Coturnix japonica: one gene and its partners. The protein of the gene in region 3 interacts with the protein of the main gene of each other region in a biochemical or structural test. Links are inferred from orthologs where the notes say so. Each region holds a gene or a part of one and is shown on either strand. Other genes may lie near its edges. The genes, in order: ABCC2, TBC1D10A and SLC9A3R1.

The links.
Region 1: the proteins of SLC9A3R1 (region 3) and ABCC2 form a complex in vitro, tested with the Homo sapiens proteins (2 studies listed by BioGRID). The link is inferred for Coturnix japonica from reciprocal best matches to the Homo sapiens genes NHERF1 and ABCC2.
Region 2: the proteins of SLC9A3R1 (region 3) and TBC1D10A form a complex in vitro, tested with the Homo sapiens proteins (2 studies listed by BioGRID and IntAct). The link is inferred for Coturnix japonica from reciprocal best matches to the Homo sapiens genes NHERF1 and TBC1D10A.

Annotation. Positions count from the first base shown.
Region 1 is NC_029521.1:19,253,692-19,257,930, forward strand, and holds the start of ABCC2 (canalicular multispecific organic anion transporter 1), read right to left. Parts: upstream 2,865-4,239; 5' UTR 2,566-2,864; coding exon 2,524-2,565; intron 2,115-2,523; coding exon 1,941-2,114; intron 1,493-1,940; coding exon 1,367-1,492; intron 559-1,366; coding exon 424-558; intron 1-423. UniProt on the Homo sapiens protein: ATP-dependent transporter of the ATP-binding cassette (ABC) family that binds and hydrolyzes ATP to enable active transport of various substrates including many drugs, toxicants and endogenous compound across cell membranes.
Region 2 is NC_029530.1:9,671,550-9,675,787, reverse strand, and holds the start of TBC1D10A (TBC1 domain family member 10A), read right to left. Parts: upstream 2,905-4,238; 5' UTR 2,828-2,904; coding exon 2,628-2,827; intron 1,843-2,627; coding exon 1,743-1,842; intron 1-1,742.
Region 3 is NC_029533.1:9,149,631-9,151,996, forward strand, and holds part of SLC9A3R1 (Na(+)/H(+) exchange regulatory cofactor NHE-RF1), read left to right. Parts: intron 1-1,240; coding exon 1,241-1,399; intron 1,400-1,841; coding exon 1,842-1,995; intron 1,996-2,342; coding exon 2,343-2,366. UniProt on the Homo sapiens protein: Scaffold protein that connects plasma membrane proteins with members of the ezrin/moesin/radixin family and thereby helps to link them to the actin cytoskeleton and to regulate their surface expression. Necessary for recycling of internalized ADRB2.

The DNA of each region.
Region 1 (4,239 bases), on a different chromosome or scaffold from region 3:
AGAGCCTAGGATGACTACTGGGGCTTGTCTCAAGGCCAACTGGCCCCCAGAAACAGCATCCAAATAAGGGCAGTCCCAACAGGGCAGTTGCAGAACTCTGTGCCCTGTCTCAGCTTCTTCTCACCACCCCTCTTTCCTTCTCCCTTCCCTCCTCCCAGATGTCCATAAGGGGAGAAATTAGTCCTGGTTTTCTCACACTTCCTCAAAGGGAGAGGGTGAATTTAAAAGGCTATTTCTCTTCCAGTTCCCATAGGGCAGCTGGGACCTCAGTAATGCCACTGAGAGCTTGTTCAGGGGCTGAGGTCCATAAGGGACTTGATGACCCTTATGGGATAATACCTTGGGGTATTCTACGATTCTGTTACTTTCTCTGGGGACAGAACAGTGCCATGGGGAAATATACAGTTTCTTGCCAAACCCAACCTGCAGTGCTCTCCGGACAAGGGACTGGAATGGCAGGATCCCACAGAGCAGGGACAGGATCCAGAAGCAGAACAGTACCACCGAATCTCTGCACAAGCAGAAGTGCCGTGCATAGTGGATCAGCAGGACCAGGACCTGTGAGAAGGAACATCACTGAGGTTTGGTCAGGGCAGCAGGACCAGATCAGCCTTTCAAACACACCCTTGGGGTATGTGTCCCCAGGCACTGGCACGCATGGTCTTTGCAAGTCCTACAGGAGCTTCAGAGTTCATTGCACAGGGCAAAGGTTTACTTCAGGGAGACATCATATCAAAATACTCATAGGAAAAACAAGGTCTGAGGGCACCCCGGCATTATGCTTTAGCTGCTCTCACCCCAGGTTCTTGGCCATGCTGTAAAGAGCGGGCATAAAGCAGTGCCCTGGCTCCTGAACATCAACTGCGTGCCTGGCATTACACAGGTCAGAGACCCATGGTTAACAGTATCTCCTAAACTTTGCACATGAATCCAACTGATAAAATAGCAATCATTAGCTAATTGTTGTGTTTGCATGTAAGTGTAGCTTCTAAGTTTTATGGATTTATTATACTGTTAGATTGGTGGGTAACTTCCACAAGATATCTACTACTCCTGCGCACGTGTTCCACTGCGCACATAGTTCCTGTGCCCTCAGTTCCCCAGAGGACCAGTCTCACATATCTTCATTCACAAATCCAATCTCTAATCACGAATCTCCTCTGCCTCAGAATTCTACGGCACTTCTCAATTCTTCCTTCCCACAGAATCCCCGCAGGTTCTCAGAGCTGCCCCATCCCCATCTCCCAGGCTGCTCCCCTGCAGATGCAGCCTCCTTCCATCCCCATGCTACTGAAGCTTTCTGCTGCCCTGCCATCTCATGCCATCTCTTTGGTGACACTCAGCACACTGTCCCGCTGACCCTTACCCATGTGACGATGTACAGGCTGGGGTTGGTGTACATGACAGCTGGCAGGGGGTTCTGCCCTGTGCCCTCTGTAATTGTCAAGACCAACTCTGCCACAGCTGTCATCAACAGCAATGTAGCCAGCACCTGTGTGGAGAGAAGGGCAGTTGTAAGGAGAGACCCAGCCCACCACATGCACTGGAAACCAGTAGGAGACAAAAAGACTGGATATAAAAGCATTAAGCCCTGTAGATCACTGCACCTTTTCCAACCCAAACCTGGTGCAAAGATCTTTCTTATGCCCTTTCATGGGAGCACTGTCATCATTTTAACCTTGAGGCACACAATAACATAATATCAGAGGCTGCAATGCACACCTAAGACCTCCCTCCTGGAGCATCCCAGCCCTATGCTGTCCTCTGTCCTAGGTATGTGTCATCACAGACTGCCTTCTGGGTGTTCCATCAGTGTTTCTTTGCTCCTACACTTCTCATCTGTTCATTCTTCACCCCACTCCAGCTTAGAAGCTTTCTACTCACCACTGCTCACCCGGGCTGCACCTGCTGCCCTCTGTGCTCCCTCAGCCCCACTCTACCTGTTTGATGATGTAGAGTTTGGTCAGAGATGATTTCTTGGATTTAGATTTGCAAATGGGAAGGAGCTGCCATGGAGCCAAAACCCAGAGGAAGCCGAGGGGGATCCAGACCAGCACTGTCTGCTGGAAGCACACCGGCAGGTCGGCATCTGGGCGAGCAAGGTAGGAGTCATTCTGGAGACAAGAATGGACAGTCAGGTCATAGAACCACAGAATCATAGAATATCCAGTGTTGGAAGGGATCTATAGACCAACCCCTGGCTCTGCAAAAGGGCCACCCAACAATCAGACCCTACATCTGAGAACACTGTCCAGGTGTTTCCCAAACCCTGTCAGCCTGGGGCTGTGACCACTGCCTGGTGAACCTGCTCCGTGCCCACTGCTCTCTGCAGAAGAACCTTTTCCCAGCACCGAACCTGATCCTCCCCTGAAGTCACTCAGGATCGCTCAGCCATCACCTGACTCACAGCACCAGCACTCTTATAGCTTCTATCCCTCCTGTTTCCACCCCACTCAGCACCCACCATCCTGACTTACTGCCCACCAAGCTCCCTACCCCAATGGGGCCAACACAGCCACTCACCCAGAAGACGGAGCCACAGAACTCCTCCAGAGATGCTGGCATGCCTGGGGCGGGCAGAGCCAGCAGCTCCTTCTCTCGTTCTGCTCAGTTGTGAGAGTCCTGGGTAGATGCTTGGAATAAAAGTCCCTACACACCCTTGGTCGGTGTCAGGATCAAATCCTGATGGCACACAGTTAATTGTTAACTTGGTGTGGTTGTGTAACTCTGAAAGCAAACCAGTGATCAAAAGGGCCTTGGAAAACCACATGAGTTCCAGGGAAGGCAAGAGAGGGAGGCTCAGAGGAGAGATGGAAGGGAAACTGCTGTCACAGACTCACTGCACCATAGAGCCATTGCTTGAAAATCACAGCCTTTATCAGTGTATACTGAGAAAGGTATATGGTCCCACAAGACAACCTGTGTTGGTGTGGTACATCTTTCCTCTGCTGGAACCACTCCAGCAACCCCCAGTACCCCAGTGACAGCCAGAGAGCCACACCTGGAGGGAGACTGGCCCTAAACCACCATCCTGCTACTCTGGGAAGTGGGGGCTGTAGGGGATGGGTCTATCCTAAAACAAATAGAATTTGCTTCATCTCACAGGATTTCAAGAAGCATTAGGTAAAAGGGCAGGGTGCACAGAGCAGAAGAAAACTGCTGTTTCATTGTTCAGTGTTTGTAGCTCAGGAGTCAAGGGTGATACAATGACTAATTGCTCAGGAATAAGCCCCTTGCCATCAATTGCAGAGGAAGGTCCAACGTCTAACCTGCTGGTTAATTATTATTACTTTGTCTGATTAAGTCCACTTCCCTTTTGGTAAACAGCTGTCCATAGTGCCAGGCTCTCCAGCCAGCATCAATACAGTACTGAGGAGAGCAGCAATCTGATGCATTAGACAAGAGATCACTGAGAGGAGCAGCCACTCCCTCAGATTCTTGTCGGTCCAGAGTGCTGATGTAATTTGTGAGGCTGAACACGTTCCTGTCCTCAACTTTTGGTCCACACCGTGTTGTTTCCCATCACCCAACCAAGCTGCACAGATCTTCATACATATTGTACCTCGGCTATGCCTAAACCCTACCTTTAATTTCCTGCTTATTTTTGTACAGTAGATGAGATCCAGTCTTACCAGTTCATCTTCACATACACGACCCTTTAAAGGTGCCCTTGTCCCTACCACATTTCACACTGTCCACTGGCCTTGCTTATAAGGCTCATAAGGGGACCTCTTGCCCCAGTTACAGCTTCCTATCCCCCCCATATTCTGTCCCCTCACTTGCCTTGGTTTTCAATGCATATCATAGAGCCCATCCTCTCCCAGTCTTTGCTCTCTCGTTCAGAGCTGAACAGCTTTCCTCAGCCCAGAATGTTTAAAACAAGCACATCCACTCTTCCTCCACCCTCAGTCTTGCAACATACTCATCCTCCTGAAAACCCTTAAAAGTCACCTTCGTATCCTTCAGCTCCTTCCACACAGCTTCTTCCACTACAATATCCAGAACCTATTTGCTGGGACCAAGCTAACTGAAGTTCCCACTCATGCCCCCACAGGGTCTGCTCCAGGACAGAGACTTCTGCAAGGCAATGTACAGATTAGTCCAGACCTCCTAATCTCTAAGAAGTTTATTTCTTTGCTTTCTTATGGTGCCTTTGAGTTCAAAAGCCTTTTTAAAACAATCAAAACTTTACACAAAAGAACCGAACTACATATACGATGACGGAAGGCTGCGTCAGCA
Region 2 (4,238 bases), on a different chromosome or scaffold from region 3:
AGTCCAGGCTGGGCAGCGTGGGTGCCAGCTCCGCAGCACAGAGCGGACACACTTAACCCTGCAGCTGCCACCTGAAGCCAGGCTGTGTCCCTTCCTGCTCCTGTCCAGCTCCACTGGTGAAGCAGTGCCATGAGCTCCCTGTGGTCCCATGAGATGGACACTGAGCACAAAGCCCTGAGTAATTCCAACACAGTCACCTCACTTCACTTCCTCACACACAGGGTGGCACACACCCTGTGCCTGAGCAGTGCCAGGGCTCTGCATGCTGCAGCCAACAGCACCCTGAGGCTCTGCAGCCCTGGGCACCGCCTGCCTGCCCAGAGCTTGCTCTCCCTGTTTGCCAGCGTAACTCAGAAGCAAGCACTTGTGTTCCCAGCACGGTGCTGACGCCACACTCCTTGCTGCACCCTCACCGCAGCACTGCTGTGTTTACCCTATTGGGCCCCGTGAGGGTTTTGAGCTTACAGGAAATGCTGTGGGCAATGCCCAAGGCAGCCACGGGCAGCTCGGCCGCTGACAGCTCCCTCTTCACTCCCCTTCCTGCTGGCTAAGCAGCCAGGAAGGAAGCCGCCTTGCTGGGAGCTCAGGCTTGGTTGAGCCATGCAGCTGGGGCAGGCTGAGCCCTATGGGCCACCCCGGCTCCAAACTTTGTCCTGCCATCACCCCCGTGTGCCCTTTGGGAGACCAGGAATTCACACAGGCTGGGGGAGGCCGCAAGCAAAGTGTCGCCGGAGCTGCCCATGTGTCTGCACTCCCACGGGCCGGCTGGAAAGGGCAGGGAGCAGCAGGCAGAGCTGGCATTGCTCAGCTTGGTGGGATGTGAGCCAGGACAGCTCCATTTCAGCACAGTGGAGAAGTGCAGGTGCGAATGAGCCACTCGGCTGCAGGGCCTGGGCACAGAGCAGCTCTCTGGAGCAGCCCCCTGAGGCTCCAGGCTCTGATTCTGCTGAAGGACTGAGCGCATGGAGCTCCATGGGGACCTCCTGGAGCTCAGCCTGAGCACGAGGGAGCTGCCTGCCAGCAGGATGGCTGCCGAGGCACTCAGCAGAGCCTGGAAAGCACACAGAGAGCAGCACACAGCACCGGCGGAAACAAAGCACCCACCTGCAGCATCCCCAAAAGCTCCCAGCGACCCTTTTGAAGCAACAAGAAGCAGATGAAGGACTCCTCTGTGGGTCACCAGGCACCGAGCAATGCCACAAACAGCACCAAGAGGGGACATGGCACATCAGGGTTATGCCACCCCCAGCCCTCCCCACCTCTGTCAGTGACAAGGCAGCACCCTGGGGCTCGCTGCGTCCCATCCCTGCTCCATTCACACCCTCAGGATGTTGGGAAGCACCAAAGCAGTCCTGCATGGGCTGAGCCTCCTGCCAAACCCCAGCTTGCAGGCTGCATCCTGCACATCAGCCTCCACCATTTCCTACCCACAGCTTTTCGTTTTGTTTTGTTTGCAGTCTGCAAGATGCTCAGAGCAGAAGTTTCCATGACCTAACAATTCCCATGGCTGCTCACAGGCAGCCAAGCCAGCTCTGGGAAGCTGCAGCCCAGCAGGGAGCAGCCGTGAGCAGCAGCAGCAGCCGGGCTGGAAGGGGAACAGCCCACCTGAGCCAACAGCATCACTCAAGGACAACACAATTGTAGGGACCAGCTGATGTCTGGGCTGCACTGAAGTCCCCCTGTGATGCTGCTACACGCAGCTGTCCCTATCTGCTGCATGGAGACAGCAGGTGGGCACTCACCTTCTTGTGTTTTTTGGCCATCCACTTGTCCCAGTTGTTGAGCATGTCCAGCCACTTGGACTCACGCTGCCGCAGCACCTCCAAGGGAACCTCCTCCAATCTGTGGAGCAAAGGGACATCAGTGGGACTGCAAACCCTGTACCCATCACCCCAGAGGCCACCCGTCCCTTTGGTGCTGCCTGCCCGTGTTTCTGTGCTGGCACAGCCCCTCTATGGGGTCAGCTTGCCCCTATGTGCTGTGCCTGGTGCCACATCCATGTGCAGCCCCATCGCAGTGACGCCCCGTGAGGCCCCACCCAGGGTCAGACGGGGCCAAACACAATCGTTTAGAGCAGCCTGAGCTCCAAGGGCAGCCTCAAAACAGCGACCAGCAGATGGGGACGGGGAGTGCGGGGCTCAATGAGGCGTGTGAAGCGGGACGGATGGATGCTGGATGCTGGATGCCGGGCTGGCTCATTGCCGGCTGGGGGCCGTTAGCAGCGGTGTGTCGGGTGCCACGGGGGATGATGACAGCTCTAAGCGGTGTAGTTATGGCCGGGCCGCTCCGTGTGTGTGCAATAGAGCAGCACTGCGGCCCAGACCGGCTGGATGCCGCCCCACGGCAGCGCTCGGAGCGGCGGGGGATGGACGGATACGGCCGGTGTCCCGCTAATGACAGCCGCACAACGGCCGGAGCCAACCGGGCCGGGCCGCCACGACCAACGGGCCGGGAGCAGCGGGTCCCCGCAGAGCACGGCGGGCGGAAGGAGGATGGAGGCCTGGGCCGAGCGGCGGCAGCGGGAGGAGAACGGGGCGGCTGCCGGCTGTATGCGCGGTGTAACCGTGTGCTCTATGAGCGGATCCCGCCCCCCTCACTCAGCCCCGACCCCCCCCGGCCCCACTCACGCTCCCTCGGCGCTGCGGCTGCCCACGATGAAGCCGAACTTATCGACCCGTCGCTCCTCGGGGCCGCCGTTCACCTCCGAGTCGGATCCCAGCGAGCTCAGCTCGTCTCCTCCCGCCTCAGCCAGGCTCTCCCGTGTCCCCGCCAGGCCCCGAGCGCTGCCGGGCGAGCCGGGCCCGCCGCCCCCGCGGCTCTTGGCCATGGCGGCTCAGCGGCTCGGCGGCCGCTCCTCCATGCCGCGGACACGGCGGCGGACACGCCCCTCGCCAACCGCCACGCCCCGACGCCGCCTCGCTATTGGCTGAGGAGAAGGGGTGGAGGCGGGAGAAGAGGCTCGACCAATCGGAGGGAAGGAGGGACGCGAATGCCCGCCCTACGGGAGAAGGGATTGGGCGAGGGGAAAGGGGGAGCTGTCAATCAGGGCGTCCACTGCCTCCGCCGGGCCCGGTAGTGGCAGAAGGGCGGGGTGAGGGGCTGGGGTACAGGGATGGGGTACAGGGAGGGGATGGGGTACAGGGATGGGGTACAGGGATGGGGTATAGTGATGGTGAACAGGGATGGGATGGTGATGGTGAACAGGGATGGGGGCTGTGCTGAGATGGGCACCGAGAGCTGACTGGGGTGGAACTGGGAGCTGTGAGGATGTGACAGGAGGCACTGGGACAGGACTGGGGGGGAACTGGATCCCGGGGTCCTATGTGGTCTTTATGGGGTCCTATGTGTTGTTGTGTTGAGGGATATGATTTAACTGGGAAGTATTGGTGATGGTTGGACTGGATGATCTTCTAGGTCTTTTCCAACCTTGATCATTCTGTGATTCTGTGAATGAACTGGGAGCACTGGAACTAAACTGGGAGCGCTGAGATTGAGCAGGGGCTGAGGGGGACCTGCAGGCACCGGGACAGTGCTGGGCCCAGGGCTGCACCAGGCCCATAGTGAGCCCAGCAGCACCGCAGTGCTACCCTGTACTGAGGGCACTCCCACAGCACAGCAGCAGGTAGAACTGGCCGTGCTCAATATAAAGCCCAAAGGGTGCGGCAGGGCCCGGCCCAGCGCTGGGTGATACTGCAGAGCTGCCCCAGCTCGTGTTGGGCCACACCTGCAGCCCCCCAGCTTCACAGCACAGCGCAGTGGGAGCTATTGGTATTAGGTGGATGGTTGGACTGGATGGTCTTTTAGGTCTTTTCCAACCTTGGTGATTCTGTGATCTCACCGTGAGCCAGAGCAGCACTGAGTGCCTCCAACCAGGGCTTGATTTCCTCCTAACAACAAGAAAAAAAGGAAATTAAACAAGCAAAGCTTTGTTAATGAGGACCCTTCACAAACCACCAAAGAGCCCAGGCCTGAGCTCAGCACATCAGCCCCTTTCCAGACTCTTGTGGCACGCTGTGCTGCAGGTCCTTCCCCCCGAAGTGGCGGTCTGTGATAGCAGTTGTTTTGTAGGCAAAGATACACACGGACAGTCTGCTACAACGTTTATCTGCGCTATGTAGATTGGCTGCCTGCTGGCAGGGCTCCACGTGAGCTATTTCCAGCTCTCCAGCAGCACTGAAGCCTGCGGCGGGTTTTCCTGCCTGAGCACAGCCCTGCCAGGCTCATAAACGGGGCTTGGC
Region 3 (2,366 bases):
CTGGGCAGCTCCCGGCCAGCACATGGACACAGCTGGCTGCTGGTACGTCCTGCCGTAACCTTTGGTCCCCAGCTGGGCGTTGGTGAGCCTTGACCCCACGGTGTTGTGCAACGGGGACGGGGCTGATAGCAGCTGTGGGGCTGTCACACAGGCTGTTCTCATTGCGTGGCTGCTCCAATGTGTCACCCTCGGCAGCGCCCTGTGTCTGTCCTTGGTGCCAGCCCAGGATCATTGCTGGCCAAGGGAGTTTCGTGGTGTGATGTGGGTGTGCTGTGGGTAAGGAGCAGCGCAGGGCACGCACGAGGGGAATTCCTGCCTGTCCCCAGGGATGGTTTGGGTACCAAAGTAGGACAGACGAAGGGAAGGATAAGTGATGAAACCCCGTGGTGAGGGATATTTTAGGAACTCCAGTGTGACTTTTGTCACTGGGAAATCCCTACCGCTGATCGGGGGCTAACGATCAAGACAGTATCACTATGCATGTATTATGTGAGTAGGATGAGAGGTGATGGTTTTACACTGTGCCGGGGACTCAGGTTGGGCATCAGGAACCATTTCTTCACCCAGGGGCTCACAGTGGAGCAGGGGAGCCCTCTGGGGGTGCTCAGCTCCGTGGAGATGTGGCACTGAGGGATGTGGTCACTGGGGAGGGGTTGGATTGATGATCTTAGTGGTCTTTTCCAACCTTAATGATCCCATGAATCTACAACTATGAACAGTTGGACACTGAGTCAGGCTGGGGTGGTGCCACCAGGAGGTGAACGCCCCACGTGCTGCTGCCCTGCTCCTGCAGGTCCTGGTTTGCTGCAGCCATAGGTTGGGCTGCTCAGTGTGGGTGCTGCTCTGTGAGTACCTGGGGTCCCTTTGGTGCCACCCCCAGATGGGGGATGATGTGGTCTTTGTGTCTGCAGGAGGTGGGACCTGTTGGCATAGGGTGAAGGTGGGTGCCTGCCCTCCATCCAGGCTGCTTCCTCCTCTGCCTTCACTGGGCAATCTTAATCCCAAAAGGAAGAGCCCGATCTGAGGATGTGTGTAATAACAGGCTTCCGTAATGGAACACCATAGTTACCATGTTCTGCACCTAACCAGGCAGGGCTGGGGCTCACGGTCTGTTCTGGTCTCCATGCCCAGCTGGAGGTGCCCACAATTGTGAATTTCATGGGTCTGCAGCCCTGTGCCATAGCAGGGTGAGGGCTGAGAGCCGCCATCTCACAGCCATCCCTTCACTGTCCCCTCGCAGGAGCTGCGTCCCCGGCTGTGCCACATCAAGAAGGGCCCCAACGGGTACGGCTTCAACCTGCACAGTGAGAAGAGCCGCCCTGGGCAGTATGTTCGTGCTGTGGACCCCGACTCACCGGCTGAGGCGGCGGGGCTGCGAGCCCAGGACCGCATTGTTGAGGTGGGTGATGGGGTCAATGGGAGGCCAGCAGCATGGTGTGTCCCTGAGATACGGGATGGGCGGGCAGCGCCCAGGAGCTGCTCCTCTGGGGCACCCCCTGCCCTGAGTGCTGGCGGTGACTCAGAGCAGAGCCATCCCACCCCTGGGTGCAGCCGTGCTGCTCATCAACCTGTCACCCCGTGCAGCACCGCTGTCCTGGGATGGGAGGGCACAGACGTGAGGGTGTGTGGTGGCTGTGTGGGTCCAGGGCTGCCCGTGCTCGCCGTGCTGGGGTCAGCCGCCCTGTGCCGTCATCTCCTGGCACTGCCCCGCTCCCCGTGCAGCCCTGTGCTAATCGCTCTGAGAAAATCTGCTTTTAATGAGGTTGTGCTGCTAATCCCTGCACGTCTCCGGGCATCCGCGGGGGGCTGAGGAATGTCCGTTATCTCCGTGACACCCACAGGTGAATGGGACGCCCGTGGAGGGCAAACAGCACGCGGATGTGGTGGCGGCCATCAAGGCGGGCGGCGATGAGACCAAGCTGCTGGTGGTGGGCGTGCTGGCTGATGAGTTCTTCAAGAAGTGCAGGGTGGTGCCCTCGGAGATGCACCTGGCAGGTGGGTCCGGTGCCAGGCATGGGGATCCCATTGTGCTGGGATGGGGGTTGGTCGGCGCCTTCCTGCCCGGCCCACAGCTGGCACGTGGCTGTGGGGTGTGTGCTGGGCAGGGTTTATTGCCCTGTGGTTTACACTTTGACAGGGCTTATGGCTCAGGGAGCGAACGGAGGGTGTGTGGTTGTCCTTCACTTTGCTCCAGCCTCGGCTCAGCCTTGGCCCCCTCCCTGCCCTGATGGTGGCAGGATGCAGCCCACGTTGGCTGCCCCGGAGCTGTTGTGCCCACGGGCACCGATGGTCACAGCCCTGGTGTGTGCCTGTCCCCACCTGACGCCGTGTCCTCTCTGCAGGTCCCTTGCCTGAGCCCATTGCCA